Daphnia pulex: one gene and its partners. The protein of the gene in region 1 purifies or fractionates together with the protein of each later gene. This does not show direct contact. Links are inferred from orthologs where the notes say so. Each region holds a gene or a part of one and is shown in the gene's direction. Other genes may lie near its edges. The genes, in order: MRG/MORF4L-binding protein-like, vacuolar protein sorting-associated protein 72 homolog, histone acetyltransferase Tip60-like, chromatin modification-related protein MEAF6-like and inhibitor of growth protein 3-like.

The links.
Region 2: the proteins of MRG/MORF4L-binding protein-like (region 1) and vacuolar protein sorting-associated protein 72 homolog purify together in Homo sapiens (co-immunoprecipitation; 5 studies listed by BioGRID and IntAct, counting the BioPlex papers as one, with this or other methods). This does not show direct contact. The link is inferred for Daphnia pulex from reciprocal best matches to the Homo sapiens genes MRGBP and VPS72.
Region 3: the proteins of MRG/MORF4L-binding protein-like (region 1) and histone acetyltransferase Tip60-like purify together in Homo sapiens (co-immunoprecipitation; 8 studies listed by BioGRID and IntAct, counting the BioPlex papers as one, with this or other methods). This does not show direct contact. The link is inferred for Daphnia pulex from reciprocal best matches to the Homo sapiens genes MRGBP and KAT5.
Region 4: the proteins of MRG/MORF4L-binding protein-like (region 1) and chromatin modification-related protein MEAF6-like purify together in Homo sapiens (co-immunoprecipitation; 4 studies listed by BioGRID and IntAct, counting the BioPlex papers as one, with this or other methods). This does not show direct contact. The link is inferred for Daphnia pulex from reciprocal best matches to the Homo sapiens genes MRGBP and MEAF6.
Region 5: the proteins of MRG/MORF4L-binding protein-like (region 1) and inhibitor of growth protein 3-like purify together in Homo sapiens (co-immunoprecipitation; 4 studies listed by BioGRID and IntAct, counting the BioPlex papers as one, with this or other methods). This does not show direct contact. The link is inferred for Daphnia pulex from reciprocal best matches to the Homo sapiens genes MRGBP and ING3.

The regions. Positions count from the first base shown.
Region 1 is NC_060018.1:12,248,059-12,253,355, reverse strand, and holds MRG/MORF4L-binding protein-like, read left to right. Parts: upstream 1-2,561; 5' UTR 2,562-2,707; coding exon 2,708-2,828; intron 2,829-2,927; coding exon 2,928-3,049; intron 3,050-3,114; coding exon 3,115-3,375; 3' UTR 3,376-3,534; downstream 3,535-5,297. Other genes in the region: tRNA dimethylallyltransferase-like, read left to right, coding at 667-877, 963-1,445; TATA box-binding protein-like 1, read left to right, coding at 4,345-4,662, 4,731-4,984, 5,046-5,140, 5,207-5,297.
Region 2 is NC_060028.1:9,610,064-9,616,301, reverse strand, and holds vacuolar protein sorting-associated protein 72 homolog, read left to right. Parts: upstream 1-3,094; 5' UTR 3,095-3,252; exon of another isoform or gene 3,253-3,310; 5' UTR 3,311-3,376; coding exon 3,377-3,519; intron 3,520-3,578; coding exon 3,579-3,708; intron 3,709-3,765; coding exon 3,766-4,025; intron 4,026-4,087; coding exon 4,088-4,489; intron 4,490-4,558; coding exon 4,559-4,850; 3' UTR 4,851-4,906; downstream 4,907-6,238. Other genes in the region: plexin domain-containing protein 2-like, read right to left, coding at 15-90; uncharacterized protein LOC124210054, read right to left, coding at 1,464-1,617, 1,677-1,798, 1,871-1,968, 2,036-2,185, 2,316-2,385; uncharacterized protein LOC124210055, read left to right, coding at 5,098-5,224, 5,299-5,732. UniProt on the Homo sapiens protein: Deposition-and-exchange histone chaperone specific for H2AZ1, specifically chaperones H2AZ1 and deposits it into nucleosomes.
Region 3 is NC_060018.1:12,584,735-12,591,244, forward strand, and holds histone acetyltransferase Tip60-like, read left to right. Parts: upstream 1-2,673; 5' UTR 2,674-2,724; coding exon 2,725-2,796; intron 2,797-2,858; coding exon 2,859-2,916; intron 2,917-2,990; coding exon 2,991-3,059; exon of another isoform or gene 3,060-3,123; coding exon 3,124-3,432; exon of another isoform or gene 3,433-3,499; coding exon 3,500-3,574; exon of another isoform or gene 3,575-3,646; coding exon 3,647-3,843; exon of another isoform or gene 3,844-3,905; coding exon 3,906-3,989; exon of another isoform or gene 3,990-4,051; coding exon 4,052-4,376; exon of another isoform or gene 4,377-4,440; coding exon 4,441-4,603; exon of another isoform or gene 4,604-4,670; coding exon 4,671-4,887; 3' UTR 4,888-4,974; downstream 4,975-6,510. Other genes in the region: arginine-hydroxylase NDUFAF5, mitochondrial-like, read left to right, coding at 34-138, 202-513, 576-662, 731-875, 934-1,169; threonine aspartase 1-like, read right to left, coding at 1,185-1,625, 1,686-1,784, 1,847-2,030, 2,096-2,379, 2,439-2,540; serine/threonine-protein phosphatase 2A regulatory subunit B'' subunit gamma-like, read right to left, coding at 4,983-5,100, 5,167-5,294, 5,359-5,572, 5,637-5,773, 5,836-6,024, 6,094-6,262, 6,323-6,432, 6,496-6,510. UniProt on the Homo sapiens protein: Catalytic subunit of the NuA4 histone acetyltransferase complex, a multiprotein complex involved in transcriptional activation of select genes principally by acetylation of nucleosomal histones H2A and H4.
Region 4 is NC_060026.1:14,090,033-14,095,301, reverse strand, and holds chromatin modification-related protein MEAF6-like, read left to right. Parts: upstream 1-2,918; 5' UTR 2,919-2,986; coding exon 2,987-3,061; intron 3,062-3,127; coding exon 3,128-3,334; intron 3,335-3,392; coding exon 3,393-3,593; 3' UTR 3,594-3,733; downstream 3,734-5,269. Other genes in the region: histone deacetylase 8-like, read right to left, coding at 984-1,015, 1,260-1,365, 1,436-1,703, 1,775-1,967, 2,037-2,108, 2,167-2,343, 2,406-2,580, 2,714-2,860; V-type proton ATPase subunit D-like, read left to right, coding at 3,965-4,005, 4,114-4,231, 4,301-4,448, 4,510-4,725, 4,791-4,869, 4,932-5,073.
Region 5 is NC_060019.1:7,720,564-7,727,119, reverse strand, and holds the start of inhibitor of growth protein 3-like, read left to right. Parts: upstream 1-2,726; 5' UTR 2,727-2,859; coding exon 2,860-2,887; intron 2,888-2,959; coding exon 2,960-3,031; intron 3,032-6,556. Other genes in the region: uncharacterized protein LOC124190484, read left to right, coding at 391-703, 783-1,417. UniProt on the Homo sapiens protein: Component of the NuA4 histone acetyltransferase (HAT) complex which is involved in transcriptional activation of select genes principally by acetylation of nucleosomal histones H4 and H2A.

The DNA.
Region 1 (5,297 bases):
TCACGTGGCTCTCTCTCCCTACTCCCGCCACGTAGTAAAAAAAAACTACTATTACTACGACTACTACGACTACTACTACCACCGTAGAGTGTGTGTAACACATACACACGCGCGCTCTCGCTCACGTCAACTCGAATCAATTTATTAATTTCTTTCTTCTTCTTCTTCTTGGCTTGTGTTCTCATTTTCTTCATTCTACTCTCATTCGTCCCGCCCATTTTCTTTTTTTTTATCACTGTACATAATTTTCCCGCGGGAATTTCGCTCTTATCTTTTCGCATCTCCATTCAAAATTCTTTTTTTTTTTCTGCGCGTGATTTTCTCGCTAGATAACAAAAAATGTCGACGTTCAATCCCAAAAAATGAAGGGCAGTAAAAAATAATTATTTTCGTCGTAAATCAATCGGCTGACTGACTTCTTGCATGGAAGGAAACGAGAGAACAAAAAAAAAGGCGATGGAATTTTTTTTTTTGTTTTTTATTTTGGGTATGAGGATGGAATAGTTTGGGCGTATTCCACGTCATCACGATGAAGGAAAGAAAAAAAAGAAGAGTAATTTCCTTTATTTATTAATTCTTTTTCTTTTTTTGTTTTTTTTTTTTCACGAAAATATTTTTCCCGTCCTGCGCCGCTGCTCTGTCGTGAATTGAAAATAAAAAAAATAGGGAAGCGGATTACACCATCGGCATTTTCCAGTCGATCGGACTGAAGGAGTTTCACGAATTCCTGGTGCTGCCATCTAGCGAGCAGACGACTCAAACGGGACGGCGTCTCCTCGACCAGGGCGTGGAGGCCCTGAAAAGCCGCACCAGACGCTACGCCCGTAAACAGACGAAATGGATCGTCAAGCGTTTCCTTGAGCAACCCGATCGCCAGGTGATTTTTGAATACCATCAATCAAATGAAATCAAATCGGCCGATTTTCTGATATAATTTAACCAAATTGTTTTCTCATTCTCAGGTGCCTCCGGTGTACGGACTGGATGCCACGGATGTGACCGAGTGGAACGAGAAGGTCCGCGACGTGGCTTTCCGGATTGTCGACTCTTTTGGCTCCGACGAGGAGCAAACGGGAGACGGGAGCGAGTGCCGGCCCAAGCCGCTGGCCGTCGCCGAGACGACGACGCGGGAAGAGCAAACGTCCTTTCACTGCCCGCTCTGCGAAAAGGTGACGGTCGGCCAGCGCCAGTGGCAAGAACACCTCGGCAGTAACCGACACCGCAAACTGGTCAAACGGGCGGCGACCAACGGAGACGGCCTCGACCAGCAGTCCAAACCTAGACGACGCCAACCAAGGAGCGCCAAGACGGACCGAGCTGACGAAGACGAAACAAACGCGGGCGGATCGCAGGAGGCGGCTTTGACATCCGCTCAGGCTGCCCAGGAGGAACAGCAGCAGCAGCCACAACTACCATCACTACAAATAGATCAGCAGACCTCTTAAACAACCAACGTTAGCGCGCCCAGCCTGCCCGGCAGACTTTGAAAAACAACACAAAAAATTCCCGTCTCTTTCCCTCTAGATCTTTTCTTCTCTTTCCGGAAAAGTCCTTAAATGATCCGGCGTCGTTTAATGATCCGCTTCCCTTTCATTCTTTTTTCTCTTCTCCAGGGCAGCCCGGCGTGTTGTGTGATATTTCTCCCGTTTGCCGGCCAATGTTTCGCACAATAAAACCAAAATTTGTAGAAGGAAAAAGCTGAAACTGAATGATAGTCAATTTGTCTGTGTGTGTGTTTTGTAAATTCTTTGGCTGAGCTGGGAAATGTTTGGGGGCTAAACGGCAATACACAAAAGTTTAGTACTAGACAATGAAGAGAGATGGAAGCGATTTCTATGGGTTTTTTATTTTGCTTTCTTTTCACCGTTGAAATAAACGCTGGCTGGTTTTCTACGCCTCAATGGAGTCGGCCGGCCTGCACGGCAGTTATATCATGTAATAACAGTTGTTTGGAGAGGAAAAAAATTGACCAATAGCTCTTTTTGTGTTCACCAGCATTTATTCCGTGTGGGAGGAGGAAATGGCTGTTTTGTGTCGGGACTCTTTTCCGCTTATTTTATTTTGATTTTACAGGGCGGATATTTCGTTTGCATTTACACACACACCAACGCCAAAAAACTCTCCTCCGTATTATTTTATTTCTTTTCCTTCCCATTTTCTGCTTACGCTTCGTGATCGTGATGATTCAACTGGTTGTGACCTTGGGAAATGGACACGGGAAATGGGAAAAGTATTTCGTCGGAATGTTTCGCCCAGGACATTCTAAGAACCGTGCCTGATTTATCATTCGACAATCTTGGTGTTGTTCAGATAACGATTAACTAACGTCGCTGGATTAAATAAAACAGGATGTTTGTTTTGTTTTGTTTTCTCTCCATTTTGGCTGACTGAATTAATTTCTGTCGGGTCAATTATGAAACATTTATACAACAACAGTTTTTTTAATTAAATTGTGAAAAAGAAAAAAAACAAAAACAAACTGACTAGCAGTTGAATAGTTGAATCACAGATGGCGTGTCTGCTAGCATAGCAGACGCACCTAATCCTACCAAAACCAAATCACAGATGGCGTTGCGGAGTGTGTGTGTGTAGTATTTTCACTTGTCAGAAGGGAGCCGGTTGTTATTTTCGTTTTCCTCAACCACTAGTCGAACGTCGGAGAAATCTCCATTCAATATCAACGTACTCAGTTAAAATCGATTGAAATATGGCCGTTAAAGAAAAAACTGAAGGAAACGAAGAGACTTTGGAGGCTGCAGAAGTGGAATGGGGTACCGTCGATAACGAATTGCAGCTGTTACAAATTCTGTGTGGCACCAGACCCATAGGTAATAAGATAAACGTTTGAAAATGACGACGATTTTCTACACTTGTTTCACAGCAGGTTTAATTTGTGTTAAATATTTAAAACATTTTCTTTTTTACAGGAATTAGTAAATACTTTCAAATGGCCTGCATCGTAGAAAAACTGGCAATGAATCTGAACAAAGAAGTCACTTCCAAAGGTGTTTGGGATCACCTGGCGAGCTTGTACGATCTCAAGAAACTGGTTTGTTCACTGTCATTAATATTCACTGTATTGTTTTGTATTAAAGTGTTTGTTTCTTTCTCTAGGATGAGCACGAGACGATTCCTTTCCCCAACGAAGAAATGGACTTTGTCCTTTCCACTGAGGAGTATGGCGAATTGATGGATAGCAAATTCAAGGATGCTGAATCCAAGAAAGTGATAAAGAAGGAAAAGGAAGAAGTTAAGAAGGAAAAAGTTCCTGAAACACCCCAGCCAATTGAAAAGAAAGCTGTGAAAAGAACAAGAGCCAGCACTGCCCCAAGCCCTGGAACACCGCAAATCACTCCAAAACGTCGACGAATTTGAAAACAAGAAGATGAATGACTTTTTTTTTTTTTACCATGTCAACTTTTTCGGCACTCGTACATTATTGATTGCGAAACCGTTTAATGAAATTTTGTAACTCGGGTATTGTGTTAAAAAAAAAATTTCGGCCGGACTAAAAAATGACCGCCCACTTCAAAATCATGCGTTTGAATTTTTATTCGTTAGAAAAACCTTTCCATCTTCAGTTTAATTACCTCACTTATTTTAGAGAGTTAAAAAAAAGTTGTCGATACGATTTCCTGTTTCTCAAGTGTATGAAAATTATAATAATTAAAAATGAATTCGACGTGACCACATTTCGAAAGAGTTGTTGGAAGAGGCATCGGAAGGAAGAGAATGCACCGGTTTTGTAGTGCGTTTCATTGCCACTTGAAAGCGCCCCAGTGCAGCACTGCGAGCAACTGTTTGTTCTGTTCTTCGGTTTTTTACAGAGCCCTCGCCGACGATGTGCTGGGATTTGCAACGTGTATTTTCATTCGTATAAAAAATTGATTGAAGAATTTATCTAAGTCGGGTAAGAACAACATTGATCAATAGTAGGTTTCTCTATCGATTCCAAAACGAAGCCAAAGTTGAGATAATTTAAGGATGAATCACCATTACATTTTCGGCCATGTGATGTCGCCCTATGAGTGTGTGTCTGTGTGTGTATCAAGTGAAGAGAGGGAGGACGTCACACACTGAATTCTTGAAAAGCTCATCAAATTATGTGTGTTTTGACCGGTTTTCTCAATCTGTTTGGCATCTAGTTGGAGTAATTTCAGACGGTAGTTGAATTTTTAAGTTGATCTCGTGGTTAGAGACACACGATTCGGGCTACAAATGGATACCGCCTGATACGGCTATTGCCCAACCAGACACCCCTTGTGTTTACGTTAACATCGTTTCAATATTCTAATTTAATACGTTTTTTCCCTGTCTTTTCACAGTTGTGGCTCTCGGGAAGGAATGGCCATGACGCTTCAAGGATCTGTCTTGACCAATGGAAACACTGCCACGAACTTTGTTCCTCTCAAACTGGAACCCAACAACAAAGACTCACCGGAAGTGTTTCTGAACGAAGCCAGCAATGGTTTTGGTGATTGTGAAAAGAATGGATTGAACAATGGTGAAGTTATTGAGGAAGTTAAAGAAACACCTAGTGAAGAGCCAGTCATTGATATTACAATCAACAATGTGGTATGCAGTTTCAGTGTTAAATCCCATCTCAACTTGAAGCAGATAGCTCAGAATGGCTACAATGTTGAGTACCGTAGAGAAAATGGGGTAAGATTCAGTCACAGTCTCTAATCGTTTTCACAGTTTTTGGATTTCAATTTACGTTTCTGTTGCAGATGGTAACCATGAGATTACGGAAACCCTACACTACAGCTTCAATCTGGTCCTCAGGAAAAGTTACCTGTACAGGGGCAACAAGTGAGGATGAAGCCAAACAGGCCGCTAGACGAATCACTCGTTCGGTCTCCAAACTAGGCTACCCAAAACTACGCCTAGTAAATTACAGAGTAGTCAATGTTCTGGGAACTTGTACAATGCCTTTTGCGATAAAAATAACGCCTTTTTCAGCCAAACACAGAGATATAGCCAGGTTCGTAAATGTTTGATGAATTCGTTTTATCTGTGCTGACGTGTGTGTGGCTTTGATTCAGTTATGAACCTGAATTGCATCCTGGAGTTACATATCGTCTCAAGGAACCTAAGGCCACCCTAAAAATCTTCTCAACAGGCAGCATTACAGTTACAGGTATACACGATTGGCTTGTGAGTTTCTGGTTCATTTTTGTTAATTGTTTGATGCATTTCATTTCAGCGCCATGCGTGGGTAACGTCCAATCAGCCATCGAACACATATACCCCCTAGTGTTCGAATTTCGTAAAGAACGATCTCCTGAAGACATACG
Region 2 (6,238 bases), on another chromosome or scaffold:
TAATTTTTATATACCAGCTGTGCAAATGCCGATGAGGGTGAGAGTAACTAACACAGCACACCAGTTAAATTTCCTGCTTTCAGACGCCATTCTCGGTGTATTTTTTCGAGGGTTGCGCCTATTGCACCGTGGAGTCCACGGCCCTCTAGTGTCACATAGTGCTATTGCACCGTGGATCCACGGCGCTCTAATGTCACTTTGTGCTATTGCACCGTGGATCCACGGCGCTCTAATGTCAAAATATGCTATTGCACCGTAGAGTTTAGCACACACACCGTCACGTTTAACTAAAGTAACCCTGTGTCGTAAGGCTGGTGCTCCTTATGAAATAATTGCCGACACTCGCACATCCAATAGATAAGGACTGATAGGATAAGGACTGTAAAGCATGCTCTCCCAATAGCCAATACTGCCTCCCAAGATTCACCTTGTGGCTTTAACACAGTCACTCCTACTGCGGCTGCTCATAATAGCAATTATGTCAGCTGTGATCGACCTAGTCAAAAACAAATTGTATATACAAGTGTCGACCCTTTTAACCTTCAAAAAGAAAACGGACCTGCATTGAAATGTCCAGCAACTACAGTTATTATGTTAGTATACGCTAGCTAGCGGCATATACCGCTAATTTTGGAACACATAGTTCGCTTTCTGCAAAGGGCTTAAAATAAGACTTAATCAACACGTGATGCCCAATGGTTGTCCAGTGCAAATTAGATTTACCTACTATGGTACATGTGAAAAAAATTTGCGATAACAAAGCTGGAACCCATGGGCATAGAGAGACCTCTCCATACCCCTGCTGGAACTAGCTCGTCCGCGCCACCTGGTATCCACGGCGCAATAGCATATTTTGACATTAGAGCGCCGTGGACTCCACGGTGCAATAGATTTTTCCTTTTTCGAGAGTGACACTTGTTACAGACCACTTGTAGACAGCAGCAGTGGGCTTCATCAATTCGTCGGGCCCTTTTTCTCCGTAGGGTTTAATGGGCTACAGGGTTGCCACATGTCATTGTGTTTCACCAGCACTCCTTCTTTGCTTCCGCCTCGCACTGTTGTTGCTCAATTCTTTCGTAACTAACTCGGTTTCTCATATTTTAAATTGCTCAAATGAAAATAGGACAAGAATATTTAATAACGGGTAAAATTTTTATTTTTCATTAAACAGCGTAAGAAAGCTGAAATGAATTTACTGAATTCGTTAATTCTATTATTGCAAGATACTGCGCAATCATCTGTAAAAGTTATGACGTAGACGGTGCTGCATTTCCTTTATTTCGCAACACAGAAAATACCCAGCATTGGGACGCTTCATTAGGATCTTCCTGCATTGATCACTGATAACAAAATAATCTCGCCTGAAATAAAAGTTTGTCTTTATTTTTATATTTTAGTGTAGATGATCCCCGTCTATGACATCCAATGTGGGATGTACACAATCAAAAAACAAATATTCACAATTATAGCTCGATCCTTTGCGGTGACTTTCTTGGTCTGATATCGGACGGCTTGAAGACAACTACGTTTGGAGCGCTCACAGTGGACTTCAAATGAGTTGGAACATCTTTTCCGGAAGGATCCGGATCAGCTAAACTGATACTGGACACGGCAGATCTGCAAATCAATGAATTATGAGTACTTTTAATGACGTCGAAACCATTTTGAAATCTTACACTTTAAAAGATTTTGAATCTTTGGCTGACAGATCACATTGCAGTGCAAAAGCTCCGTCTCCTGGCATAATGAGCTCCTTATCATGCTGTAAGATGAGAGTCACTTGAAACTTTTCTCCATCCTAAAAAAATTGCACATTAGAAACATGAGACGTTAGACGTGTTGATACATTCGTTATTCTTATTGCACGTACATCCTCAACATTGCACTGATCGTATGGTATTTTGAGCCGAAAACGACGGCCACCGTTAGCATCTAGAAAGCACGGTGCCTTTCGTGAATAGAAGCTGCCTAAGTCAGAGAAAAATTTAGAAACGAAAATTTAAATTTTAAATCGATATTTTCTCTTGTTTTGTACCTCTGGTGTATATGACTCCTCTAAAATCGGCCAGTGTCTCTACTACCACTTGAAAATTGTTGCTACCGCAGTCTAGCCGGATCTGATCGAACCCCGAAGCCGTCACACCAATGTTCATACGCCCAGTCACATCTTCCCGCCATAATTCTGCAGTTGAAGGGAAAAGTGGTAATATAATTGAAATTACTTGACTTAGACTAGTAGGATGACGTAATTCTTGCAAGATTCCGTAGTTTCTTAACAAAAACATATCAAGTTAAAACGCTTTAATGATTCTCACCTTCTCCTCTTGACGTGAACAGACACAATAAGAATGTCAGAGACAAGAGCACAAAATCACGGACAAACATTTGATAAAGCTTTCAAAGAAATGGTGAGATGGCACCGGAGTCAGTCAAGCTGAACTGGTTTCAAGACTAACTGCATGCCGGTCTTTGTACGGAAACACCTGAGTTTTCCATCTGTCAATGACTTTCTCTGGGTTATTCTAGCCTCAGGTGATTTTTTCGTTCTTTCAGATGAATGCCAGAAGTAAAGCTTACTTCCGTGCGGCAGAAATAGCATGCACCGGCGGGAAAATTGGTTTTACTTTTGATTTTGAAAAATAACAATTGTAAAATTTAATTATACGTAAATGGTGAGGAACTGGCAAAGTAGCGATACCCACTGAGGCAATATTTTAAGGGTCAATTTGTGAAATGGTTGGAACTGGTTGGAACTGGCAATTTTACTGATAAAATGCAGCAGAATAATTCGTACCTTCATTTAAACAAAAATGTTATAGTCATGTCATGAATGTGTGTGATCTTGTCTTTTGCTTTTTCATTGTGTTCATCAACCTGGATAAGGATCGGGATAAAGAGCTTGAAGTCTGTAACAATTTTAATATTCTCTTTAAAGTGGTTCCTCAACACAAAACGTTATAACAAACAAGGTGAAGTGTTTTCAATTCTTTTTCTTAGTAACTAACTTCAGTCTTAAAGGGGAAGGACTGAATGAAGATTGAAGAACAAATATAAAATGAAAGAGACAGAATTTCTTTTTTTAGGTACAGTACGTCTAAATCCAGGAGAAGCAAAGTAGAAAGAATGAAAGGAAAGGCGGAAAGGTTTCTGTAGGATATAACGCCACCTAGCGTTGTGATTTAGCAAGAATTAAGTTTGGTTTTAGTCAATAGATGGCTTTCTGTGGCGTTGGCGTCTGCTTTTCCAGTTGAGGTTGTTTAGAAAAAACTAATTTTTTTGTGTAATTTTAACGTGAACTTTGTGTTCTCAGATCTAGTAATTGAATTCTCATAGTGTTTGTTTAGTAAAAAATAACGTCTATCTGTTAAAGTTCATCATGTCGCTACAACGTGAACGGCGTGTAAATGCGGGCAATCGCTTGTCAAAATTACTGGAGGAAGAAGAACAGGATGACGATTTCTATAAAAGCACTTACGGTGGATTCAATGATGAAGAAGATGACAATGAATTCGTTTTCAAGTAATTTAAAGTCTAAATTTGTATATTACATCAATAAAACAAATCTTTTTTTGGTCTAGAGCGGAAGAGGACCAGGATGACGTAGTAGACTCAGATTTCAGCATTGATGAAAATGATGAACCTATCTCTGATCATGAAGATGAGGGCACTAAAAGAAAACGAGGTGTAGTCAGTACCAAAGCGTACAAGGTATGTCTATTCTACTACAGAATTAACGAATGAAATCATTTTTAAAAATTTTCTTAGGAGCCTAAAGCTTCCTCGAGCAAACGCTTAAAGGGTGACAAAAATGCTGATGAAATGACAGAAAGAATAGCAAAAGCTGGAGAAAAAACAGAAGTTCCTGTGGAAGTCCCGAAGGTCAGGTCGAAATATGCCAGAAAGCCAAAAATTCCTTCACAGGCCAGAGAAAAGAAGGCAGTAAGGCAAACAACTGTATTGAAATCAGCTGAAACTGTACAAAGACTCAGGGAGAGAGAAACAAAAGGGAAAAGAAAACACAACAGGTTAGCATTAAAAATAATTCTTCATTAGAAATGTTTCAAACCAATCATTTATTATGATGTAGAAGGGACAATTCTGAAAAGTTAACCCAACAACAGCTTCTAGAAGAAGCCAAAGAGACTGAATTGCTTAACATTCAATCATTGGAAAAGTATCACCAACTTGAACTGGAGAAAAAGAAAACTAGGGTCGTGAAAAAGGCTCCTACTGGACCAACAATTCGTTACCTCTCGACGTCAATGCCTCTGATCCAGGAAGTCAACCCGGAAGCCGAGCGAATTAATGTCGAAGAAGATGAGGAAAAAGAAGATAATCCAGTTGTTGAGAATGGCACGGTAGCCACAGTCGACAGCAAGCAGTGTTGTGAAAGAACTTTCGTTACGTTTTCGAATGACAGTGTCTTGGAGGCTAATTTCAGTCGGACGAAAGTCACTCCACCTCAAAAGAATTTTTGTCCTATCACCAGGTCGGTTTGAGTGATCGTCTTCTCTTAGATGAAAGGGAAATATCATTCGTTTATCATATCTCTTTTCAGGCAAAGAGCCAAATACTTTGATCCGGTGACTCAGCTGCCGTACGGCACTCTACAGGCCTTCCGGATTTTACGTGAGGCCTATTGCCAGCAGCTGGAGGTGAAAGGAGACGCCAGCGATCCGGAGATCGGCCGCTGGAAGGAATGGCGTCAAAAGTACCGCCAAGCTCGACTCGCCGCTCTAGCTGCCGCTCGCGCTCAACAGGTCAACGCGCAGGGAAACTCAGCACCTGCATCGACGCCAGTTCCAGCAGTCAAACCCTCCAACTCGAATAACTCCACACCGACGATATGAACGAAATTCTCCTCATTTTTTGCAACCGACATGAATAAAATGGACATTTTTTGATATTTTCTTTCGACCATTAGACAATTTAGGGTTTCTTTCAACTCGATTTGTGTTTCATACGAACTTTGTCAGACTAGCAAATGTTATCGATGAATTATTCATAGGTTAAATCCTATCAAAAGCGTCTTGCTACACCTGCCGACAAATAAGTTGGCAGTGATGATGAAACCGGAAGGCGATCAAGACGTATACCATGTTCTTTAAACTTCAAAACTTGTACTATTGTGCTGCTCTACTACTAATTCAGTTGACATTAGTCACCCAGCAGTTGGTTCCTTACAGCGGAGCTACTCGTTTTGTTCCTAATTGGTGGACTGCAGGTAAAATCAGCCATTTTAAAAATGTGTTTCCAAAAATAATTTGAACAGCTCATTTTTGTCTTTTCCATTGTTAGCAAGACGTCAGCATTCAACCAAAACATTAAAGCCTCTTATCTTTTGTCCAGTTCATCAAGCGGCAGGCGGAGAGTGTCGCAATTCCGAGGATTGCTCTGCAGACGAGTGCTGCGTCCGCTCTACGGGGTCCCGTCTGCACCGGTTCTGTTTGCCGTTGCGTCAGACGGGCGAAGCTTGTCGACTCACTCAAAATCTTGTTGATCCATCACATGAACAACATCACGTCTATTTGAACCTCTGTCCCTGCACCAACGGCCTGGTCTGCCGTGAAATTCACGGCGGATGGGTTGATGCCGAATGCGTTGCATCACGCAATCCGGCTGACCTACTTCGCCACTCTTTCCTCCAAGCCATTTTGAACGCTATGAAACAGCGCCGACAGCAGTCGAATAGTCGGCGCAACCGAATTCCCGTCAATTCGTTTTCAAATTAAGGTTTATTTTCTTTTTTGATACGGCGCGTTGACCTTTTCACCGATTCCGGGTGTTGCAATACAAGGAATGTCCGTTTCCCCCCCCCCTATCTCACGATAAGTCTAATATGTAATATAACGGAAATAACCACTCCCTTTTTCTGTGTTGTCTATATAGTACTATGGGCTCAACCCAAAAAACAACAGACGAGTATAGTTGCGGTTTCGTGTTGACAAGAACAACACGCAGCAGTTGGACGGTAAATCATCCGGTCGGACAATCGTGAAAACGAAGAACTTCTCGGTCATCCTTGTCCCAGCACAAAACGCCGTTATTATTATATTAGAAGTGTTTTTCTTTTAAGTTGCGTGAAATGTGCAGCCCCGTGCAGTCGTGCACTTGATAGTGGCAAGTTCATTTACTTATTTCTATGCTGCGCATGTACACAACTCGACGACGACGACAGCCAACAACCCCCCTGTGACGGATGTGCACTTTCGGGTCATGCGCGTTGCAGCGTGATCAA
Region 3 (6,510 bases), about 340 kb from region 1:
TGTGGCCATATGTTATGAGATTAAATAATTTAGGTTGGCAACAGATTATCAGATCGAGTGTATGACATCAACAGAAAATTCAAAAAAGGCCTGGATCTAGGTTGTGGGTATGGACATGTGAGCAGACATCTAACAAAGGTTGTCAGTAGGAGGTTTTAATAATATTTGAGTTGTTTAACTAATCTTGTTTTTCAATTTTAGGATGCAGTGGAGGAGTTGGTCATGTGCGATCATTCAGCGTTAGTTTTAGAGAAAGCCTCGATACCGGAAGATACGACCATAAATTGTCGGAAAATGGTTGTGGACGAAGAAACCCTTCCCTTTGAAGAAGAGAGCTTTGATCTCGTTATGAGTAGTTTAAGTTTACATTGGGTAAATCAATTACCGAGCACTTTCTCTCAAATTATGAAATGTTTACGTCCTGACGGTGTATTTATTGGCGCTCTTTTTGGAGGCGAAACCCTGTACGAACTGAGGGGTTCACTGCAACTAGGAGAGACCGAACGGGAAGGAGTATGTTATGATTTTACTACTTTTTAATCGTTTAATGAACTAATTTGTTTGTATCACTGCAGGGTTTCGCTGCACACATATCACCCTTCGCTGCAATCCGAGACATTGGTGGACTTCTTAACTCCGCTGGATTCACCATGCTAACCATCGTGAGAAATATTACACCCCCAAAGATGTTATATTATTAATTTCGACTAACAACGGTGTAAAAGGATAGGACACTGACGAAATAAGCGTAGGCTACCCTTCAATGTTCGAACTAATGGAAGATCTTAAAGGAATGGGCGAAAATAACGCTTCGTGGATCCGCAAACTGCATTTGCATCGGGACACGATGTTCGCTGCGTCAGCCATCTATAAAGGTTTCTTGACATTTTCTTCTTTTTTCTTAGTTTTGCTAATACCCCTCTTGATCAATAGAACTCTATGGAAATGAAGACGGGTCTATTCCAGCAACGTTTCAGATTATTTACATGATCGGGTGGAAACCTGATCCTTCACAGCCTAAACCCCTCGAGCGCGGAACAGGAGAAATATCCATTAAAGATCTCTATCGGCTCGATGAAGTCGTGAAAAATGCCACCGAGAACATGGTCAAGCAAACTGCTAAAGAAATTACTCACAATTTGGAGGATAACGACGGGAAAAAGATGTAACGCTTGTTGTTCTCCTTAATTTATTAGTTTCACAATAAAGCCTTCCATAGTCAACCTACTGGAATGTGATGAGTTATTTGCATTTGTCGGTGTCGCAAGCGACGTGTTTCGAGACACCCGAACAATAGCCTTTTCATGGTTAGTGCTCATGAAACCGACGACCATCGAATCAGTTGTGAAGGCCATGTTGAAATCTATCGAATCTTCGCTATAATACGCCACTAGAACACCACCCATCCGGTCATAGACGTCATCAGACAGCATTTCTGAATGGATGAACTCGTCACACATGAGCTCTTTCAAGTGGAAAGCCGGATCTCCTCGCTCTAATATGGTTTGACCAAGCTTCTTGGCCAAGGTTGTTTGGATGAGTTGCTCGCCACAACCAGAAGTTGACACAGCAACACCACCGGAGCTGGAATGCTGCGCCCAACAACCACAGCCGTAAACTGGCACCTATCGCAATATACACATTGTAAATGACTACTAAAATGACAAGAAGGAATAAAGGAAAACCTGTCCAACTCGGCCGGGAAGCTTCATAGCAATTCCTCCCGAACTCGATGCACTTGCAATGTCACCATTCGTATCTATGCAAATTACTCCTACTGTATCCTAGATTTAAAAAATAACCATGATATTTGGATAACATTACTTTAGGAAACCAAATATATTACTTGACTTGGGTTTGGCTGCACTGTGATCTTTAGCCCACTTGATAAAGCTTTTCTGGATACTTCCAGCCGTTCTTTATATTTCTTATACTTTCTCATGGCTTTGTCAGATATAAGAGTGCTATTGTGAACAAGATTCAAACCTCGGTTTTTAGCAAAATCAGACGCTCCTTCTCCTACTAGAACACTAAAAAAAAGGCTGTGTTAATTTAACCACTCATTTTAAGTGATGCAAATGGTATTTTGAATTACAGTGGAGGTGTTCTACCAAGAAGTCTTGGTTCATTCTGGTATAAAATGATTTCTTTGGCTACCATTATAGGATTTTTAATACTTTTAAGTGATGAGACTGCTCCAAATCGTGTGTTTCTTTGATGTTTCAAAGACAACATGATTCCTGCATCACATTCAACTTCACCGCTCTCAGTGAGATTGGAGCCATATCCTGCATTAGTTAGTGGTGAATCTTCTAATATGCAAACCAATTCACACGTAACATCTAGTGCAGATTTTCCTTCTTGCAATAAAGCTGCTCCCTGGGAAAAACTTATCAAGTCAAACTATGAAACCATGAATCACTAATAGAAAGCCATGCCTTTTCACACGTTATTTTGCAAAGTTTTTTGTAAATAGCTTCAGATTTTGAACTATGGCAGCCTGCTCCAAGATGAATAGCAACAAATCCATACTGTGACATTTTTGCACTTTTATGGTTTAAATTTTGTCGAGAATTTTCATAACCGAAATTTCATTTTACAATTTGAAATGGGACTGATCGGTCCAGTTTGTGAGAGAGCTAGCAGAAGACTACCATTTCCAACCGGCAAAAGCGGCAATGTCGCTCATGGCCGCGCACTGTTGTTTTGAAAGCTTTTTCTCTAATGAAGACCGAACAGTCATTGTCAAAAATGAAAGAAGAGATTGTAGATAAAGATCTGTTTTCAGATTCAACTGTATGAATTTTTACATTATTTCATTAGAAACCATGTTTAATTTTGTTTATTCTATTATCTAGGCATCTGTTGTTGAAGGCTGTCGGTTGCCTGTACGGATGAGAAACACCGAAGACTGGCGTAACATTTGTTGCTTTGTTATCATTTTATAGATTTGAAAGTTTAATTGTGGTTTTTCTTTTGTTATCATTTAGCTCTAGCCGAAGTACTCAGTGTCAAAGATATCTGCAACATCAGGATGTTTTATGTCCATTACATCGACTGTAAGTTTTGTATATGCTATGTTTAACGATACATCATCTTACAAAATTTTTAATTCAACTCTAGTCAACAAACGACTTGATGATTGGGTCTCAGAAGATTTCTTAGATACGAGAAAAATTCAGTTTCCTAGAAAAGATGGAACTCAAGTAGGCACAGGCATGAGTACTCCTAAAAAAGTTGGAGGAACAACTGGTTCTTCCCGTCCTTCTTCCCCACTAGCTGCATCCAGTGCATCAGACCTTACTGTCAATGGGTCTGCTCTACTGGCTGCAGCAATACAAAAGAGAAATGGAAGAAAACGTAAAATTGGAGAAAAAGAAGAGCCCAGTCCAGGATCCATTATTCCAATCCCACCTGCCAAGAAACTTATAAGTAAAGTTATTTTATTTCATTAATTCTTTACATTTTTCATAAATTCTTTTAAATTTTATTTTTATAGAAATTGAAAAAGAATTACCAGCAATCCCCACTCTGCCACCCACCGTAGTTAGCGATAGTTGTGCTGTTCCTACAAGTAATTAGTCATTTTTTCTACAATCTATTTATTATATATAAATGATTATTAAAACTAAAATTTTCTGCATAGGTGATTCAGTTTGTGAGGTAGGAGATGCTAACTCTCCGGCCCCACCGTCCACCCCTGCACCGACTACACCAGGGCCACGTCAGTCGGGCAGTCTTGTTACACATCACGATGACGTTGTAACACGAATGAAAAATATTCAAATGATTGAACTCGGCAGACACAGAATAAAACCTTGGTATTTCGCACCCTACCCTCAGGTATGTCATCATCTAACGAACGTAAAGATCCGAAATGTTTACTATTCTTTTTCAAAAATTAGGAAATGGTTCACCAAGCTTGTATTTACATATGCGAGTTTTGTCTCAAGTACCGGAAAAGTGAAAAATGTCTAGAACGTCATCTGGTAATTTAAAATTTTACGATATATTTTTAATTGGATGATCAACCCTTAAACTTTTTCTACAGATGAAGTGCAATCTTAGACATCCGCCAGGCAATGAAGTTTACCGCAAACAGACAATTTCTTTTTTTGAAATCGACGGCCGTAAAAATAAAGCATACGCTCAGAACCTATGCCTGCTAGCGAAACTGTTCCTTGATCACAAGACACTGTATTACGACACTGATCCGTTCCTCTTTTACGTCATGACTGAAGTGGATGCACGAGGTTTTCATATCGTCGGCTACTTTAGCAAAGAGAAAGAAAGCTCGGAGGACTACAATGTCGCCTGCATCTTAACATTACCACCCTATCAACGGAAAGGATATGGAAAACTTCTTATTGAATTCAGTGCGTACAGAATCGTAAACCCAAGGGGAAATATTTTTTTAAAACCATTTTTGTTTACGTAAAGGTTACGAGCTGTCCAAGTTCGAAGGCAAAACGGGCTCGCCAGAAAAACCTCTGTCCGATTTAGGGTTGCTGTCTTATCGCAGTTACTGGGCTTTTACAATCTGTGATATTCTGATGAATATGAAACCATCCAGTGAAGGTGAACGTCCTCAAATTACCATCAAGTAAGTGATGTAAATTACTTCATTCTAGAGCTCACGTTGACAAACGAATTCGTTTTAATTTAAATAGCGAAATTTGCGAAATGACGAGCATTAAAAAAGAGGACGTGGTGTCCACCTTACAGCATTTGAACCTCATCAATTACTACAAGGGGCAGTACGTACTCATTCTGAACGAAGAAGCGATGAAAAATTGCATAAAAAACAAAGAGAAATGGAAATTACACATCGATCCCAAATGCTTGCACTGGACACCGAAAGACTGGTCCAAAAGAGGGAAATGGTGATGAGATCGCACCTACAATCCATTCCGCGATCTTGCTACTTCTTTGCTTTTTTTTAAAAAATACACTCACAATTTCTATGTACAAGAATTCCAAATTCAAATGTCCTGTTTCTCTTGGTTATTCTTGTCTGTTACGACAACAGCTTCACGGTTCTCGTATGTCCAAAATCCATCCAAATCAATCAAGATATTGATCACAGTTTCACCGTATCCACTGAGCCAGAAAACGTTCAATGACAATCTTATTCTAAAAAAATTCTAAATGAACTTTGTGTGTTACCAGTTAATCAAATCATGTAAAGTGATTTTTGACGGATCGGCAGGACGCACCATATCGAAAATCTCATCATTGACGTCGTCAAAAGCAACGACTTCTTGTTTGTGCTGCTGCATCAACTCTTGAACCCCCTGCAAAGCATTTTTTTTTTTTTCAAGATAAGAAAGTCAAAAGGTCAAATGAGGAAATTAATACTTTGAAGTAAAAATGGAGGTCAAAAGTGTTGAGATGGTTTCGATGATTGACGTCCAACAAACGGAAAAAATACTGAAGTGCTTGTGGTTCCTTTTTATTGTCCATGGCCAATACGAAATCCAAGTACGTTTTATAATCCATTTCTTTCTCATAGGTCATGCACTCCTCGAATACTCGTTGAATGAAAACTCGCGTCAACGTGCCAGTTCCGAATCTGAAAATTAAATTTAAAAAAAATCTTAAATGTACGTACTGCAAATTGAAATATGGTAAATTACCGTCTGAGCTCTTCCTGACAAAGCATGCCGTTTCTGTTGGTATCTAAATTTAAGTATTGACCGTAGACTCTCAGAGCGGAGGGCGCAGAAAACCAGTTTGAATCCTGTGCATCTTTGGGCAGCTCTTCATCCCGTAGCTGATGAATTATAATATTTTTAGCGAGAAGAATGACAAAAGAATCAGGAATATACTAAATACCTCTAAAAGTTCGTCCAGAAAACCAGAAGCGAGAATATCCTGTATCCTGACTTTGCCTAGCTTTAATGGATCTAGGAAAAAGAGGAACTTGCGTACGGCGGTACAGACGTAAAACGAATGGAATGACTTTTCAAGCCCTTCTAACTGTGGCAATGTTGGGATAAGTTCAGTTATGTAGTTCTCTAAATCCTGGGAAAAACAAAAATAGATAAGTAAATTACATATTGCAAAAACAAAAAACATATTGCTGATGTTCACCATTTCAGTAAGCAGACCTTGTCCTGTGGCATCATATAATGAAAGACCAATTCTAGTTTGCTGTAACCAAACTTTCCTCATGATGTAATTGAACACTGCCATGGTTGATATTCTGCCATGAATATCATTCTGCAATAGCCTTGCAAATACATCTGGTGTAAAGAATGCTCTGTATAGGGGAATTCAAAAAATAACTTGGTGTTCCCAATCAAATATTTACATGTCTTACTTATATTTTGGACCAGCTATGTTGCCTACTTTGAGAAAATCAATATAATTGATCATCTGCTCAGAACCAGCAGGAGGGCTGTGATTTTTGTCAAGTAAAGTCCAGAGATTCTAAAGACAGGATGAAAATCTTATTTACCAGTAGCACAAACACTGGCAATGACATTAACAAACCTGCAGTTCATTGTT
Region 4 (5,269 bases), on another chromosome or scaffold:
TCAACCAACAACCACCGATCGACTGAGGCCAATTTTCAGAGGCCTTGCCAGTGCCAACCCCATCCTCCTCCGAACCAAGGTCTCATGCACCGCCCTCAAAAAACAGAGTTGCAATTTTCACCGCTAGATGGCGCAATTTCAAGGATTTTTCAAAAGACCGTTTTTAGCGTCCACCGCAGAAATCCCCAACAACCGATCCGGGAAAATAATAAAACTATCCAGAGACTTTGACACTCCAAATTTGCTAGACAAGGCCACCCACACACACATACAATTTTTTTGTAAAAACGACATAAAGAAATAAAGAAATAAAAACTTAAGCTCGGTTGCTAGGCCTGTCATTTGATTATCAAATACAAGATTAGCCTGTTATACTCATTTCCCTAGCTCTGTCTCCCCCCACCACCAAATGGTTTTATCATCTGTTTCGATGATGAGTTAAGTGGATAAAGAAATGTGTGTAAGTTTTGGATGTGACGGCATCCGATGACCTCATCTGACAAGTCGGGAAAACCGACCTGAAATCCTCGCCCTTTTCAATCTGATATCTGAAACCGCTCGGCGGCGTAGGTGGATTTCTACACATTGGCAGACCGCACAGCTGTTGTTCGTTTTTCTTCTTTACACAACGGCCCATATTTGGATTAATAGCACCATCACGAAAATCGAATTTCTATTTGTGTTTACCTTGTTTTAGGGGAGAGTCCATTGGGTCTAATTTTATTCAACGGAAATTTCAAAATGTTCCCGAGTGAAGGCCCGTCAAACAATCAAATGGGGGAGACGTTTATGTTGACATAGCCATTTCGATATCGGCTAATCTATGAAATGAAAAAAGTGTTGGCGTCATTTCGTTCGGCTGTCGTCTTGTATTGATTACGTAAAATGTCGAAAATGTAGTTAATAGTTAAAAAGAGAAGAAAAAAAAAACCTTCGAAAATCCCAATAATGGCCCGAAGGGAAATGTGATGGATTCAAAACGTTCACGACTCGCTAGAGATTTGCTCCAAGTTGCCTGCCAAGAAGAAGAAGAAGAGAGGGAGTTCTTAGGTATTACATAAATTTCATATATCCCGTCTATTTATATAGTTTCGATGTGCGTGTGTGGTGTGTGTGTCACCGAGCCGCGCGATGGAAGGAGCGAGGAGTCAAGGGCATGCCGAAAATATTTCAACTCTCTTGCAACTAAATTTAGGCTTGAAAAACACACACACACGCATTGCTTTGCACTATAGGCTACTACTAAGGACGCAACATACCGAAAACTTGTTGTAAAAGAGTCCGGATGTAGTCGGGGCTGTTTTCGTCCCGTCGGAGACCTCGACTGACGTCTAACTCGAAGCTCGGCCCGTACCAATTGAAATACTGTCAATAAAAATCAATCATTAAAAGAAAACGGATAACTATAAAGAAAATTTACAACAATAAGTTTTACTTCGTGTTCCGGGATATCGGATGATATTTCGACGCCTAGTAGACCTGCCAATATGGTAGTGAAACAACGGGACGCGTTGGCCTTGTGATAACCGCCTCCGCCAAGGTACAAAGTAGGTAATTTGTAACTCTGGATGACAGCGGTGCAGCGGGCGTATGCAACGGGTGTCAAGTTAAATGTCCCTAATGGATCGTTAGCTAGGCCATCTGCTCCACATTGACATACAATTGCTTCCGGACGAAAACGTTTCATTACTTCCTGGAAAACTCTTTTGTCACAGATGAATGAATGATGATGAACCACATTGTAGGTTTTAAGGAGACAAAAGAAAATTTATACGTTTGAAAGACGTGGATGAAAGTTTCATCGCAAGCCCCATCTCTGAGTGGAACATTGCATGAATAGTTGCGACCCCTGCCGAAACCAGTGTCGTTGACTGAACCTGTACCCGGAAAATATCCTTCTTCATGTTTATGTAACGATAGCGTAAACACTTTGCGGCTGTAAGCGAAAGCATTTTCAACTCCGTCTCCTTAAATAAATAAAAATGGGTTTGTATCAATCCTTGTATACATTTACACTGAAAAAGGGTTGGACTTACCGTGGTGAATATCCAAGTCAATATAAAGTACGAGTTTGAATTTTCTTTCCAATTCTAGGATGGCAAGAACACCTGAAAATCCAATAGTTTTACCTTGTGTTTTCATTATAAAAATATTAAATTATTGTACAGTCATTGATGTAGCAGAATCCTGATGCACAATCTCTCTGAGCGTGATGCCAGCCTCCACAGAAATTTACTGCCACATCAACAGATCCAGAAACAAGTGCTTTGGCTCCTGCTACAGATCCACCAGCTATCACAGAGATAAAGTCATCAAGCTTGTCAAGTGGGGGGCAGTCAAATCCTTGATTAGATTTTAATGTGATAAATTAACATTTCCATTACATGTTTCCATATTCATATTACCTAAACCATATTCCTCACTGGATTCATCCTCTACATCCACATCACCTTTGAGGAATTCAATGTAATCGGCAGAATGAAATCCTTGAAAGACGTCATCATTAACTTTATCACAGTTTAAAAGCAAGACATGATCTAAGAGTCCATAAGATTCCAGCAAATGATGAACTAATGAGGCCTGAAAAGAAACAAAGCAAAAGTGAGATCAAAATACGTTATATGTACTATTGAAAGTTAGTTGTACATAATGCTTAAGTATGTCAAAATTTAACTGTGACATTTTTTAGTGGTGAATGGAAAAAAAATGTTACCCTGTTCTTCAGGTTTGGTACTCTATTACATTGATGAATTAATTCCGGTGAATATACATAGCCAATTTTAGATTTAGGGGGACATTTTATGATTTTTTCCTCGTTATCATCACAGCTCTTTTTTTCGTCCGGCAGTATACCCGCCATTTGAATAACGTTGTCTGCACCGCCACGTTCACTAGCGACATGGCGGACAATAAAGAAACCCGAAATTAAATGGCCGCCAGCATCGCCTGAACAACAAAAGAAAAGGGCGAAATTTTGGCTTGTAAAATGACTAAAAATACATCCAGCTCCGATTTACGATCTGAACTTTCTGACCTCGTCAAACGAAGAATCGAAGTCGCCGTAAGAATGAATTCAAATTTAACCTTAAAAACTGCCTACTTCATTGTTTATATTTGTGTTTTGTAGGAAACCCTAGCCAACTTGGAAAGACAAATTTATGCATTCGAAGGTAGTTACCTGGAAGATACACAGCTTTACGGAAATATTATTCGAGGATGGGACCGTTATTTAAACAGTACTAGCAAACTGTCAAACCCTTCATCTGACAAAAGGAACAGGAAATTCAAGGAAAATGAAAGACTTTTCTCCAAGTCTTCAATTACTTCTATGGCGGTAGAATTGCATGACACTTCTACTGAATTAACAGAAATAAAATTTCTTTCAAACCTAGGCTGTGAGCGGGATCATTGATCTGAATTCTGAGAGAGCAGAACGAAGCAGTGAAACTGAATCACAAGCAGGAATGAGTGGAAGTGACGAAAACAGCAGAGATTTTCTCGGTTTAGAGGGGGTCAATGGTGATAAGTTAGGAAAAGTTTCAAAATCCAGACATATAAATAAAAGAGGGAGCAAGAAGTCAAAACTGAAATAATTTCATATTCACTGTTCATTTTCCTATTCTCTATAACATGGTTTCGTGAATGCCCTTATGAATGTACCTTCCTAAGTGTTAAACAAACTTTATGTCTGTGTGTCAATTTTCTGGTTTTCTGAATAAATGCTCGAATTAAACATTCCAATGTTCTCGCAATTCATTTTCCGATTCAGACTTATTACGTAAATATGTTTCATCCTTCTATCGCCAGATGGATTTGAAAGCTCATTTGCTCCTCCCCCTCTCTTCCTTCTCTTGTTGTCACATGATCAGATGATTCTTGTCAAAATTCGGTAACCACACACTAAACCCTCTTACGAACCCTATTCGTTTGTATTGTATTATTCAGATCCAGTTTTAATCACACAATGTCGGGAAAAGACAAAATTGCCATTTTTCCTTCTCGAGGGTATGTCATATTTATCTTTAAGACGATTCAGTTGTAATTTAGAACATATTAGAGCTCAATAACAACTTTCAAGTTTTTGGTTTAATTCCTTTCTCTTGACACAATCAGAGCACAGACTTTGATGAAACATCGGCTTGCCGGTGCACAGAAAGGCCATGGTCTTCTTAAAAAGAAGGCAGATGCTCTTCAAATGAGGTTCCGCTCAATCCTGAAAAAGATCATTGATGTAAGTTGAAAAGGAATTAAGTATCTACTTTACTTGGCATTACAAAATAATTATTACTCAATGTTTCAGACAAAAGTACTAATGGGAGATGTGATGAAGGAAGCTGCATTTTCACTTGCTGAAGCCAAATTTGCAACTGGTGACTTCAATCAGGTAGTACTGCAAAACGTCACAAAGGCTCAGATCAAAGTCAGGTCTAAAAAAGACAATGTGGCAGGTAAATAATTTTGAAATCATCCAAAAATAATTGCTTTAAAATACTATTATGTTGTGTCCAGGTGTGAATTTGCCAGTGTTTGAGAGCTACCAGGATGGTAGTGATACGTATGAGCTGGCAGGTTTGGCTAGAGGAGGTCAACAGCTGGGTAAGCTGAAGAAAAACTACCAGAAAGCTGTTACACTATTAGTGGAGCTTGCCTCTCTGCAGACGTCATTCATCACGCTCGACAAGGTGATCAAGGTGACCAATAGAAGAGTAAACGCCATCGAGCACGGTAAAATGCATTTTCATCTAAACAAATTGGTCAATAAGTAAAACTTTATTTCTTGAACTATTAAGTGATCATACCTCGTATTGAACGGACACTGGCCTACATCATTTCAGAACTTGACGAGCTAGAACGTGAAGAATTCTACCGGTATTTATTACAATTATTCAAAATACTCGCCAGCCATTTAAGGGCGTTGCTCTTTTTAAAAGGTTGAAGAAAATCCAAGATAAGAAGCGCATATCACGTGCCAAGGCTGAGCTGGAGAAGGCAAAACGTAAAGCTGAAGGGAAAATTGAAGACGAAGCAGCCAACATACTCGATGACGCACATGACGAGGATGTTCTTTTCTGAACAAAAAAGACGACAAAGAAAAATAATAATTAGGCGCGATATTATCCGAATCTATGTCGAATAGTTTTTGATGTGCAAGTCTATTATTGTGACTGCTATTGTTTTGTTCATTCCTTACCTTATATTGGTGTTGTTGGTGTAGCCACAGAAAAAGATAACTAATTGCAATTTACACTTTCGATTCAAACATGTTTCG
Region 5 (6,556 bases), on another chromosome or scaffold:
GCATTAAAAACAGATTGAGTGGACAGTTGTTCATGACATATGTTCTCTGTTTGAACTGATGTGTCAGTATCGTTGTTGTGTCAAATTCTACCTGTCTGACACATGTTTCTATCAATCGCACCGTGGAAGCTCTGCGATCTGTGGCTCGTTTATAGAGCCAACACCCATCTAGGGTCATTGCACCAGGTGGCCCGATCACTGAAGCGCTACTGTATAAAAGGATTGTTTTCTCGCAATAAGAACTTAGTCACAGCTAGAAGTCGAAATTTGACACACTACTACGCCTCTCATCAGAGCTGTTCAGGTAAGCACTCCAGATTTCATAATTTCGCATAAAAAAACGATAACATGCATCATAATAACATGTTTTTAAATTGATGCAGGAGAACGATGATTTCGAAAGTTCTCGTATGCATTCTCGTCCCGTTTGTTGTGCTGTCGATAATATTTGATCCAGTGGACGCACAGGCGTGGAACGACGGTGACGGGGGCAAAGTTAAATGGCAATTTGATTGCGACTTTCCCGGCAATGATATCGGAAATCAAAGAGTTCCTGGCGACCAATGTGGCGGCCTTTGTATTAAAACAAATGGATGTAACCACTTTAGTCACTTTAATGGAATCTGCTATTTGAAAAAGGCATCAAGCATCCCTTCCCGTAAACAGACAAGCGGTTGGGGAGGCATATGCGGATTCCTAACAGGTGCACTTAAAGCATTTTGAATATTTTTGGTCACAAAGTCTTACAATATTAAATATTATTAAAATCTCAACATTTTTAGGAAGTAATGAAAATTCCGGCAATCGTAATGTCAAAGGCACTTTCTGGGCGGAGCAATCTGATGCTGGCGGATGTCAAATGCCGCAAGGTGATTACGCGGTAACCGACGCGATTGCTCTTGGACAATCGCAAGCACTCGGAAACCTCAAGTGGCGTCAAGGATTGTGCGGCCAAGTCTTGCGGATCGACTGCGGAAACGGACCGATTGATGCCGTTGTGGCCAGCACTTGCAACCTGAACAGCGATTCCTGCGGGGTGGACATGATCGGCAAAACCTGGCGACGAGCCACTTCGAACAAGTCACCCGGTATCGTCGATTGTAGTGTTTCGTTGACCAACCGAAACCCCTTAAACGGAAATGATGCCATCTGCTACTACCGTCCCAATTCCGAAACTACTAATAATTACTACGCAATCCTTGGAGTCGTTAACACCGGAGGTAGGATCAGTTCGTCAGCTGTTGCGGCTGGAGTGACAGGTCGCCGGAATAACGATGGTTGGTTCGAATTCAACGGATCAGGAAGCCCCAAATTTCAGAAGAATGCCGAAGTTGTATTTCGTTATGAAGATGGATCGTCTTCTTCTTTTCGGCTCAGCAACTGTCGAAATGGAGGACAAGTACAGATATTTCGATAAACGAATCTGGTATGAGGTATAATGAAGATAATTTAACTTAACTTAATCTTTGATTTTAATATAAACATTTCCCTCACTAGATATTTCCCTCACTAATGGAAATCACACCAGCGGCAGGCTACCAATTCGATTCACTGCTACGTGCGAAAATTTCTCTGTAAGCCTGAATGGTTAAATTCAATCTCTAAAAGGTTCTAAATACAAAATTGGACTCAAATCTACTGAGTGTTGTTAAAGATGGAACGAAATTTTTTCGTAAAAAGAAGGTGACGTCCGAACTCCGAAGACACGGATTTTTTAAGAAGGTTTTTTCGGACTTTCGGAGCCCAATTTAGATCGCTTTTCAGACGGCTCTTTCACATAGACACATGAGTTGAGTCAAAGACAAGACAAAGTCAAAGCACACATGTCACTTTTAATTAGTTTTCATGTTATTTATTTCAAATATTTCAATATTTACAAATTACCCGAAGGGTTACTGGTCAAAGTTTCGTTTGCAGTATGGTTTACATGGGCACCCTCAGTTCTCGTAACACTACATAGATGGATGCACTAGTTTTTGGCAATTATTGATTGTAATCAACAATTTTATTGCATTTCAATGGCAGTAATCGGTAGCTTACAATTTTTTACATCTATTCTGAAAATTTGGCTGCAATCAATTCAGGCATTTGATCAAACGGAGTTCTGGTTACTTTTTGACAGAATTTCAATAGCTGTTACAGCAGACGATAATACAGAGACATGTGACAGGGATATAAACGTAACGTGACAATCGACTACTATTGTATGATAGAATAGAAGTCACTGTATGTTATCACCGAACGCTATCAATCTCCAGTAACAGAAGTGCTGATAGGTAGTTACTTAAATTTAATTTTAACAAGATCCGGTGTGACGTGGGGTGGCGGGGCGAAGCCTCCGCCGCACCAAAGTCACGCGGAAATATTCTTTTAATCTCTTTCTCGATTTATGCTTATTACAATCTTCCGGAAACTAAGGGCATAAATTTTTTTTAAATGTTATTAATCCATCTTAATAATAGGCCTACCTTTATAACAGAATATTTTTATTATTCTATAACTATTCTATAGCTCTGTCTTTGTAAAACTATACCAATACTACTATACCAACTAGAATACCCTTAACATTCCCTTCGGGTACCTTGCGGCGTACGTACGCTGCCTACAGTATAACTAGGACTGGCAGTAGGCGGCAGTAGGCTAACACTAGACCAAGTGAGCACAACTCCTAGTGACCAAATTGCTCGCTAGAGGGAATCTGCAGACATTCACTCGCTCGCGTCATCACATTAGATTCCTGTAGATCAACTGCAGAAAAGAAGCAGTGATCCAAGCCATCCGTCAAAAGCGTATAAGAAAAAGAAAATTTCTCAAAACTTAAATAAATTTTATTGTCGATTTCAATCAATTTGTACCAAAATGTTGTACTTAGAAGATTATTTGGAAAGTATGATGAGTGTTTCAAGTGATGATAAAGTTCCCTGATTAAAATTTTTAAATTACCATCTCCCCATTGTAGTGATAGAGCATTTGCCCCAAGAACTGAGGGATCGATTTACTGAAATGCGCGAAATGGATTTACAAGTTCAAAGTAACTCTCGAATAAGTTGTAGAAAATGTAATAGGGATGTTCGGCGTGTCGGGCCGTTTACTTACAGTTTCCAAGTTGAATAAATTAGACACGAACAAAACCGTGTCTTTTACCTCTCGTCTATTTTAACACACTGAATATTGTACAGTAAATTGGGGGGGAATAAACAATAGGGGGGTAGGGAAACAACGACTGAATTTGGGGACCAACGACTGAATTTGGGGCCACCTATCGGGGGCCCCCAAGGCAATAGTCGCGTAGGTGCGCCGGTGTTGTTGTGCGGCGCCCTGATCTCGTCGTCGTCTGTTGGAATGGAATATTCCTAACACACTCCCCACCAGAGCCCGTAGCATCCGGCTCGACATCTTCGACGACGTCTTCCGGTTCTTCGGGAGCTGGCATAGCGTCTCCGATAGCGAGATCGATTTCTGGTTCTGGCAGAGTTGGATTTGGATCCTCTTCCGGCTCCTGGATCGGTTCCGGATTTCCAATTTCGACGTCTTCGGCGAGATCTTCTCGCAGCTCTATAGGGTGAAGACATTGAATGGCTCTATTAATTAAATTACCATTTGGAATCTTGAGCATGACAGAACGGATGAGTCCGTCGCGGCTTGGAATCAGTTCCTTCACTACTCCGGTAGACCACATGAGTCGTTTGGAGTGTTCGTCGTGGATAACAACGACTTCTCCTAGGCGGATCTTCCTTCCGGATTTTCCTTTGGAGTGGAAGTTGTCTAGTTGGAGTAGATAATCGTCGACGAATCTAGCACAGATGTCAGCGACATATTCCCTCCTGTTCTTGTCCATCTCTTGTAGTACGATGCTGGTCGATGTAGGATCCAGCAAGTTAACGGCTGGCTCCGGATCGGCACGAGTAGAACGTCTGTTGTTTAGAAATTGGTTAGGAGTTATCGGAAGTGGATCGTCAGCTCCTTCCCCAATATAGCTGAGTGGGCGGGCGTTGATTACGCTCTCGATTTCTGCTAAACTCGCTTCCAGTTCCATGTAGTCAAGGCAGGCTCGACCGTTGGAGCGTCGCAGCAGATCCTTGACGCTCCTCACCATCCGTTCCCAGAATCCTCCCCACCATGGCGCTAGGCTGGCGGAAAATATCCAAAGGGTTTTTCTGGACGCGAGAAAGTCTTGAATGATGGGATCGGCGTGAATAGTTCTCAGGAATCGGTCGACACATCGGAACGTTTGCGCGTTGTCCGAATACATCACTGAGACGGGTCCTCGTCTAGCTGCGAATTTTCGAAAGGCTAGTAAGAAGGAACGCGCCGTCATATCGGGTAGTAGTTCCAAGTGAACCGCTCGAGTGACTGCACACGTAAAAAGACAAACATAACTTTTAAGATGGTTCGTTTTCTTAGCTTTAGTTGTTGTTATTAAGATGTCTTGGATTTCGACATCTTCTTCGACTGAATCCTCTTCGCCTACGATTAGAGCTTCGATTGGAGCGTCTCCTTCAGCGGGTGGCTCCTCGATTCGCTCTTCAGTTGGATCGTCTGCTGGCGTCGGATCCTGGACGCTTGGTGGAGCTTTCCTTTTCTTCCTTCGCTGTGCTGGTTTGTACAGCAGTGGTCCAGCGAAATCGACTCCTGTAACGTGAAAAGATTGCGCATGTTTGAGTCGGTTTAAAGGAAGAGGGGCTGCTAGTTCTTGCTGTCGTCCTTTAACTATCCAGAATTTTTCTTTTAACTCGGATAGTGTTACTTTTGCTCCTGCATGTAGTAGTGACTCGTGTTTGTCTGTAATTAAGAAAGTGATTACTATATGTGATGCAGGAAGCAAAATTGGGGGATCGATGTTTCTATCTCTTAGGGCAAGTGATACTCTCCCATGGATTCGAACGAGACGGTCTCTGGCGTCCCAGATTGGAAAAAGTGCAGCGATTTTCTCCTTGGGCTGGATTGTGTTGTCTAACTGTAGCGATTCAAACGCCTTAGGATACCGCTCTCGTTGGAGCTGTCTGTAGATCGTTAGTTCCGCTTCATCCAGCTCCTCTCTGGATAATCTTGTAATCCGGATAACTTTTCCACTTCCTTTTCCATCTGGTCCAATTGCCTTTATCGACTCCATTCGTTCTGGACCGGGAGGTCTGAGCTTCTTTTGACTCCTGCTGAGGAATCGTGAGACCCAGGCTGTACGTCTTAACAGTCGATTCCAGGTGGAAATTTTGTCGAGATTCCAGTCGACGGAGGCTGTTGGAATTGCGATGGCTGCTGTTGTGCTGACCGTCGTACTCCTAGCTTCCGATTCCATTTCGGACTGGATTGTTTGTGGAATTTGGTCGTTGGGAGAATCTGGCCATTCCGTTTCTTCTCCTTTGAGCCAAATCGGGCCGTTCCACCAAAGAGTTGAGGTTACCAGCGTTGGCGCTGGCGCTCCCCGCGAGGCAAGATCGGCCGGATTTTGGAGACCTGGACAGTGTCTCCACCACTCGGGTTGTGAAAATTTTCGTATCGTCTCCACTTGGTTTCGGACGAATGGTTTCCATTTGTTCGGCTCTCCTCTAATCCATCCTAGTGCAACCAAGGAGTCTGACCAGTAGATAGTTCTCCAATACTGGACTTGCATTGCATTTTTTACGACTTCACCTAAACGTACGGCTAAAAGTGAGCTCAGCAGTTCTAAACGCGGTAAAGTTACTTTTTTCTTAGGTAGGGGTGCAACTCTCGTTTTGCTGGCCAGTAGGATGATGAGTGGATCTTCTTGTCCTTTTTGGAGTCGGGCGTAGGCTACGGCTCCATACGCTGCTTCAGAAGCGTCTCCGAAGACGTGTATTTCGTGAGAAGTGACTTTTTCGGATAGTCCGATCCATCGTGGAATTTGTAGTTCGGTGAAATCGGCGAGACCAGTCATCACTATCTTCCAAGATTTTTGGATATCGGCTGGCGCTGCTTGGTCCCAACCTATCTCCTTTTCCCAGAGCTTCTGGTAAATAATCTTTAACAAAAGTACAGTGGGAGATAAAAATCCAATTGGATCAAAAATCCTTGCCGAGATACTGAGTATCTTTCTTTTGGTGATTTCCGATCCCACTTCTTCTACTGCTTGGATGATGGATGCTGGGTTGAATTTGAACGAATCGGATCCGGTGTCCCACCGGATTCCTAACACCTTCTGTTGGCCGTCCAAGGCTGGGGAGAGTAGGCCTACGACTTGATTCGACAGTCCTTTCTCCTTCAGGTGTTGTTTGAGGTCTTCGTTGTTGGTTGCCCAGCTTCTCATGTTGAGTTGGGCGTCACTAAAGATCTCGTCCGTCTCATCGACTCTTTTCTTGGCGATTGATAAATTGTTTGCTCCGCCGAGGTAATCGTCAACGTACAAACTTTCTTCCAGCTGTTGAATAGTTTCTGGAAAACGAGACTTTAGTGATTTGAAATGTTTGTTAATTGTAACACGTAGGAGAAAGGGGCTAGAACTAAGGCCAAAGGGCACTCTCTTCCACTTGTAGGCAATAAGAGGCGATCCAGCCACTGCTGGATCCCTGGGCCATAAAAACCTGATTGCTTCAGCATC